2 linked regions of the Danio rerio genome follow. The protein of the gene in region 1 purifies or fractionates together with the protein of each later gene. This does not show direct contact. Links are inferred from orthologs where the notes say so. Each region holds a gene or a part of one and is shown on either strand. Other genes may lie near its edges. The genes, in order: map3k2 and traf7.

The links.
Region 2: the proteins of map3k2 (region 1) and traf7 purify together in Homo sapiens (affinity purification with mass spectrometry; 3 studies listed by BioGRID and IntAct, with this or other methods). This does not show direct contact. The link is inferred for Danio rerio from reciprocal best matches to the Homo sapiens genes MAP3K2 and TRAF7.

The regions. Positions count from the first base shown.
Region 1 is NC_133181.1:10,489,694-10,494,059, forward strand, and holds the start of map3k2 (mitogen-activated protein kinase kinase kinase 2), read right to left. Parts: upstream 2,928-4,366; 5' UTR 2,430-2,927; intron 1,551-2,429; 5' UTR 1,482-1,550; coding exon 1,478-1,481; intron 929-1,477; coding exon 813-928; intron 1-812. UniProt on the Homo sapiens protein: Component of a protein kinase signal transduction cascade. Regulates the JNK and ERK5 pathways by phosphorylating and activating MAP2K5 and MAP2K7. Plays a role in caveolae kiss-and-run dynamics.
Region 2 is NC_133178.1:34,483,397-34,487,229, reverse strand, and holds part of traf7 (E3 ubiquitin-protein ligase TRAF7), read right to left. Parts: intron 3,567-3,833; coding exon 3,527-3,566; intron 3,441-3,526; coding exon 3,324-3,440; intron 1,854-3,323; coding exon 1,731-1,853; intron 1-1,730. UniProt on the Homo sapiens protein: E3 ubiquitin and SUMO-protein ligase that plays a role in different biological processes such as innate immunity, inflammation or apoptosis. Potentiates MAP3K3-mediated activation of JUN/AP1 and DDIT3 transcriptional regulators.

The sequences.
Region 1 (4,366 bases):
AAGCACTAATAGACGAATTAATATCAAAGAAAAACAACGTTTGTAACATGGGAATATTTTGGTTTCAAAGTCACAGGCACCTAACAAAAACAGGTCATTTTTAAAAGCTGTCACAGAATTGTTGCTATGGCTTACAGACTGTTGAGCTGAAGTTTAAATTAAATTAAAATCAGCTTAAATTAAATCGTAAATCAAATCACAATATCTGTCAAAAAAAAAAACATTATAATTAGATATTCCCCAAATCGCACAGCCCTAGTAATAACCTTAAAAAACTAATAAATTTAATGAAATTTGGAAAGAAATAAAACTAATTTAATAGGTTCAACATCTGTCTTAGGGACGATTAGCTCCAACTCATTTATCAGAAACAAAATACCTCAAATATGGAGCTAAACATAATTGAGGACACCTCATTGTGAAAATGAACATTTTTATCCATTTCTCAGTAAATATGGGTCATATATTTTGATGCATTTGAACAAAACATATTAATTAAACAAATTTATATTTAATAAAATAATATTTAGGCCCCCGAACATCTTCAGAAATATAAAGACAACACAATACTACCCTAATTTATAATAATCAAATCATTATACAAATTTTAAACCGTTGTTGTAAGTTATTTTGCTAGATTAGCTCCAGACATGGCTTTACTACTCACTAATCAATCTATATGCAAGAATATAATATTGTGAAGCTTCCAATTGAAAACATGAATCTAAATGAGAGATTTGTGAGGGGTGTACTCATATATGCTGAGCACTGTAGCTGTTGCTGATGTGAATTAGAAAAGAGGCGATACAGACCTGGTTCTTGGGAGAGGAGGCCTTGGGTTTGGCCAGGTCAGACAGAACAGATGGTCGACTGGATCGATGCAACACCGCCAGGTCTTGCATGATGGAATTCAGGGCCTCCTGCTCATCTGCAATATATTTTATTATGTATTCACATTATATTTATTAATCCTCAATTAGGCATGGGACGATAACCGTTTTCAAGGTATACCACGGTTTGGAAAAGTCAAGGTTTTAAAACCATCAAAATCTTCTGCTATACCGTTCCTAAGGTGTGTTTAAGATTTTTTATTTACATTTTTTTTATGACAACTATATCTCCAGCAGAAAAGATATTCAAAGATGCCATTTTAAATTGTAAAAATATCATTGTGTTTTTGAAACAGTAGAAGACAGCAGAAGTCAGAGATTCATTTGAATTATTTAGCCTGACATGTTTACTGCTCCAAAATATTTTAAGTGTTTCTCAAAATAAAATCTATTGTGTTCAAAGGGGGAAAGAGTTTTTGTTTTTTTAGCCAGACATTTAAAAAGAACATATTTTATAGCAGTTATCACAAGACTGCATTACCGTAAAACCGTGACATTTTTATCCAAGGTTATCATACCGTCAGAATCCTGTGCCGGCCCATGCCTATCCTCAATACAAACACTTAAAAAAACATTTGTGCACTTACCCATTTTGACTGATCACTGATTCACCCAGGAGTAAAGGAAAGAGGATTCTCCCATGAAATGGGATCCTTTCTCCTATACAAAAAAATAATAACACTTTGATTATAAAATAATCTAATTATTTATTAAGATGACGTATTTGTAGTGATCGAATTGACCAAAATCACTAGGTCTAAATTGCACAATTATAGCTTTACAATGCAACAAAACAACACAGATTAATAATGACACAAGGGAAAATGCTTTATAAATTATACAAAATCATGACATTAGAATGAAATAATCTCTTATTAAAAGCCACATTTATTGTCCTTCATTATCAAGCTCTTAAATGTTTAATACGACAATATCTTGTTTAACTCTGAGGTGTTTAAACATGTGTATCTAACTTTAAATTTCAAAATCCTGACAGCAAAACACAAGTCAACATATAATAACTGATAAATAGCTTATCAGAGAATGTCATATGTCAAGTCACTTTTTACCATTTATGACCACGTGTCATAATCTGTGCACAGCACATTAAAAACTCTCAATATGATATGCAATTTGATGAACAACTAAATAAAATGTAACTTGAAGTTTCCTTAGAAAGCTAATACTCAAGCTAACTGGTTAGCACACATACCTGTCAAAACTACTGCATGTCAAAGAAGCAACCAAATGCGATTGCATGATTATATATAACATAAATCACAATGGCATTAATGTATTTATAAAAATATAATATGTGCCTCTAAATATTGTTAAATAAAACTACTGCACTGACACATTTATAACACACTGTTAGCCGTTTAGCTCTTTTAACAGTTGGGCCACAGTTAGCATTGCGCAAACATGCTAACGAACAGCTCAAACAGCTATCAGAAAGACACAAACAGATATGTCTGATTTAACTGTCTTCGTAATTCAGTCATCCTGTTAATCGCATAAAAATAAACATCATTTGATCACCTGGGTGAGCTCGATCCGTTCACTTCCTCATCCAAAGATGTGAGGCCTCGAGAGGAATCTGACACTCTGACAAGACTCAAATAAACGGCTTTAACTTCAGTCCAAGGCCTGCCTGCACGGCCAAACCATCTCCCGCTGACCACAGCTCACTTTGCAGGTAAGCGAAAGCTGCTGACGGTAAATCCAGGGTAATGTGAGGATGAATAAAGCTAATCTTCGGCCGCGGACGGAGGTTTGTTTACATTAGGTTAAACGCGCTCGACCTGACGAAGATCAACTGTTGTCAATTAGACTGAGAGAAGATTCGCGATGTACGACTATAACAGTGCACAATCTGTGAAGGTCTGGTCAGAAAATTAATCCAAGAAGACGAAACGGCACATTTAGCAAAAGGTGTTAGGTATTAAGTACACTTAAAACACTGCAAACGCAGACACACACACACTACTTTAGAACAGCACCGCTGTCTTTTCACTCAAACTCACATGTCTCGACAGCGCCATCTGCCGACGGACACATCGTAATAAGGCCTCGGATGGTCAGAGACGCGGCAGTGTCAAATTCTAACCAATCAGAGAACGCGGTTAGATTGTTTTCGACCAATCAGAATATTGAATGCTCTCCGAAAAACTCCCATTTGATTTACAGGCACATGTTTGCTGCGTGCGTGAATGCACATCCGCTATGCACAGGGTTTTCACTGGTTTTATGAATATTTTTTAATTGAGATAAATCAGTCTATACCGTTAAATACAAACGGCACATTCATGAATGACTTAGGTCTGTCAGAGTATATATAGATATATTATTTTCTCCTAGTTCATCAAAACATTCTGCCATCTGGTGGAGAAAGTTGTGGATTGCATAAAGATGATTAAAGGGTTAGTTCACCCAAAATTGTAAATTCCAGTACCCTTAATTACCCTGCCTCATGAAGTTCACTGACATTTTACCATGCTCCAGAGATGTTTAAAATCCAGAAAACGAACCAAAAACCTTGTGACTTCTGTGTTTCAACTGTGATCATACAAAGCTCCAAAAAGATTTTCAAAGATCAGAATTATTCATTCATTTTCATTTCAGCTTAGTCCCTTTATTAATCATGGGTTGCCACAGCGGGATGGACCACCATCTTATCCAGCATATGTTTTACATAGCGGATGCCCTTCCATCTGCAGCCTATCACGGGGATCACATCCATACACACACATACACTGTGAACCAGCGACCTTCTTGCTGTGAGGCGGTTGTGCTAGCCACTGCGCCAACATGACCCCAAGCTTTAATTTGTGCTCCTTAATTAATTACAAAATAAATTTCTTCTTTGATGTCTTCCATGTTTGATCAGGGTGCATGTTTACTACGGGCAAAATGAGGCCATAGTTTTTGACTCATGTTTGGCCTGTTGCGCTGATGACACTACTGGCAATACATGATACTGTAGTAAACGCACACCCTGACTAGCTGACGCAAGAGAACATACACTCACCGGTCACTTTATTAGGTACACCTTACTAGTACTGGGTTGGACCACCATTTTGCCTTCAGAACTGCCTTCATCCTTCATGGCAGAGATTCAACAAGGTACTGGAAATAATCCTCAGAAATTTTTGTCCAAATTGACATGATAGCATCACACAGATGCTGCAGATTTTTTGGGCTGCACACCCATGATACGAATTTCCCATTCCACCTCATCCCAAAGGCGCTCTATTGGATTAAGATCTGGTGACTGTGGAGGTCATCTGAGTACAGTGAACTCATTGTTATGTTCAAGAAACGAGTCTGAGATGATTAATTCTTTATGACATGGCACATTTGGTTTAATTAGGCCAAAGTGTGCCAAGTAAATATCTCCCACACCATTACACCACAACCATTAGCCTCAATCGTTGATACAAAGCAGAATCGATCATTGCTTCCATGGTGTGGATGCC
Region 2 (3,833 bases), on another chromosome or scaffold:
AGAGCCATTCCCACTAGCCACTTTGGCTGGTTAAAAATCATTTTAAATTGTAGTTTATCGAGAACGACTGGAAAAATAACTGTTTGCGTGAGCAAAAGAAAGCAGGTGAATTTCGAATAAGAGGATAATCACACGCACAGTGAGACGCAGGCTTTCTTCACTTACTGAAGAGGGCTTTAGTAACGCGTGCATGGCTAGTGTGATGTGCACAAGAGTTTAACAAGAGTGCGCGCTCCTTTTTCCTTGTGTGCAGTAAAAGTGCCTGCAAATGCAACTTGTGCAATTGGTTCTCTTTGAAATAGACTCGACAAAAATAAATAAATCACTGTCCTGCTGTTTTTAAGAGCTTCAGGTTCTTTTTTAAAATGTTTAAAAAGCAGCAGCAGTTGCCGATTTCCTTATTTTACCAAACTTTGAACAGATTATTATTGGGCCTAATGTTTACTTTGCGCATGTGATCATCCTTTCATTATCGCACACAGTGTTTTTTGTATGCTTTCTTTTGCTTACAGTTATTTTTTTTTATACATGGTTTAATTATCATCCTTTACAATAACTGCTTTACTAGAAGATTAACTTCTCATTTATGTATAGTTAACTGGTGGTCTGGGACCTTTAGCCTGGACAAACTACTGTGCATAGTTTTAGATACATGACAATAGTTATTTTTAAAATTATATTTTCTTAAAGAAAGGCTATGTTAAATAAAAAGTGGATGTTTATTTATTTTGTTTTAATAATTTTTTAAAATTATTTAAAATGTGTAGCTAAGGAATAGTTAGGTATTTGTTTATTTATTTTTGGGGTGACCAGAGAAGGTAAATCCTTAATGCTGAGTTCTGAAAAATCATTTGAAATTAGAACTAATTCCAATGCAACATCATTAAACCAAAAACTATTTGCTGATGCTCATTGAGCAATGTCATACACAACAATCAAAAAGTGAAATGAATGAGAAGGGGACATAACACAAAACCTAAATAAAGTAATTTTAGCATGCCAAAGTCAAATTTATTCATATAAAATATATTTTCCCAACAACCAAATTGTGACTAGTGATCAAAAAAGTTAAACAACATTAAAAAGTACATTAATAAATAATCTTTTGTTAAAACTTTTATTGCGGATGAACGTTAAAAATTTGCTGGGTGTTAGCCCGATTGGGTAGCTTTACATGGACAATTAAGACCTGTTTAAAATTATTTAGGTATTCATTTTATGAGTTAAAGGTAATTATTCTTTTATATTCCAACAAAATTAAGACTTTCAGGCCTAAATAAAATTTTGTATATTTATGATGCTGCAGATACCCCGAGTAGATTTCTCATTTTAAAGGTTTAATTAAATGATATAAATAAAAATCACACTTTAACTAATAAAACCTGAATAATTTATACACATTAACAACGGCAGTGACCTTTATTAAGTCGTGATTAATTGATTAATTGATTTGTTTATTTAAAGAAAGTCTGCTTTGCCCGTTTTTTTTTTTTTTCTGGAGTTTGTATTTTTTACGAATTAATGAAAATAAATTATTACAGGCATAAAATTCAATTTACTTGATCGTTTAAAAATAAGGGATATGTAAACTCATTTTCAAGACTGTATGTGAAAACAACCTAATTACCCAATAACCAGCATACAGTCCTTTATGATGAAATCTTGGAGATCCTGAAGCAACTGAAAGGGTTGTTTTGTATTCAAACCGTTCAAAGTTTAACACTCCTAACCTTTATGGTTTGATAAGATCCACTGTAAAGATGATTCTGAGAAGCAACCAAAGCTCGAACCCAGTGATTTAAACCAGTCAGCTCCTTCTTTAGCTTCAGCTCTGTGCCAACAATATCCCACACCTACAGAGACAGAGAGAGATGTTCAAGCACACTGTGAATTGGTAATCTGGAAATTCCCTGAGAGATGAGCTCATTCTGCAGTTGAGCCTCCACTCCCTCAATCCTCCCACACATAACCATGGTGATACAAGCACAGCGTGAGCTCTTCAGACGCTCTCGCATAGCCAAGAGCATCTCATTCTGCTAAAACTCTGTGCTTCTCCGTTCTCTGCTGGAGATCGGATCCAATCCTCTTCAGCATTTTAGGGAAAACATTGTGCGATTGTTAAAGAATCATCTAATATTAATAATCTAAACTATCAGTGGTTGTTTCGGGTAACTGCAATTGTTGCAATCCCTATAGAATGCACATAAACCAAAATATGTAGACATTGATCTGAACGCTAATGCAATTTTAGTTTTACTTTCAAATTCACAACACTTTGCAGGGTGTTGAGTGCATTGCATTGATGGACACCCCATGGAAAGTTGGATACATACCCTTGGTAGCTTAAGCAGAATAGAGCAGCGTATTGGTCATTTGCAGGTTAAATTTGCATTGACAAGTTAATGAGACTGTTCACTCAAAAATTAACCATCTGTTTCTTCTGTTGAACTTATTTATTCCGAAGAATGCTGGTTGATCATTATGGGTGTCAAAATTAATTGCTTCTTTGATGCACTGCGATGCAGATGTTAACGATTCTGTATTGGTTTATTAATAGATCACCACCGGTTATTATGTACTGAAAACATTTATTTCATAAGCGCTATGTGGCAGTAGAAAACTATTCTAAAAAGGCAAAAGTGAGTAACTTAAATGCTTCAACTACTTAAAAGGCAAACAACTGTGCACAATTCACTTTTTTCTACAGGTATATATATATATATATATATATATATATATATATATATATATATATATATATATATATATATATATACATACATATACACACACACACATATATATATATATATATATATACACACATATATATATATATATATATATATATATATATATATATATATACACACATACATATATATACATACATACACACACATATATATAAATAAATAATTTATATATATATATATATATATATATATATATATATATATACTTACATATATATACATACATACACACACATATATATATAAATAAATAATTTATATATATATATATATATATATATATATATATATATATATATATATATATATATATATATATATATATATATATAAAAAATTCTTGAATTAGCTAGTTATATGAAAAGCATATTTCCAAAATATACAATTATTGTCTGTAACTGCAATTACTTCTTAGACAATTAATTGTCAGCCAAATTTCACACAAAAGAGGTTTATAGAGCCAACATGCACATCACCAAATGGGGCAGAATGAAGCTTGACATTAGCTGCTTGATTGGGCATGTGTTTGCAGACGCGCACATCATCTCTACAACAGACGATACTGACCTTAATGGCTTTGAGAGAGCCGCTGAAGAGCATGTTGTGTGAGGACACTAGAGTGCACACAGGGTTATCGTGTGCCCGGATGGTGTTCACTTTCTGAAGGGTCTGGATATCCCAAACCTGAGGAAGAGCAAGTGAATGTGTATTAGTTACTGTCCGAATCAGTAGTTTGATTCCTCTTTTAAATGCACTTCAGGGACACTCACAATGATTGTACAATCAGCTGAGCCACTATACAGCTTGTTCCTGCAGAAACAAAAAAAAATGTGCAAGAATTTGTAAGTTCCCTTGTCCATTTAAAGACAACATGAACATGACATTTGCAACCGTTTTTACTTTGTTAAATTCTTTTTAAATATTGTATATTTTTATTAGAGCTGTAACCAGAGCCTAAAACTACACTTCATAATTGTTTTTTCAGTGCTTTCAAAATAAAAGCATACAGCTTTTTGTTTGGTGCTTTTTAAAATGCACAAAATGGATGTGACTGTGTGTCATTCGTAAAACATGGTT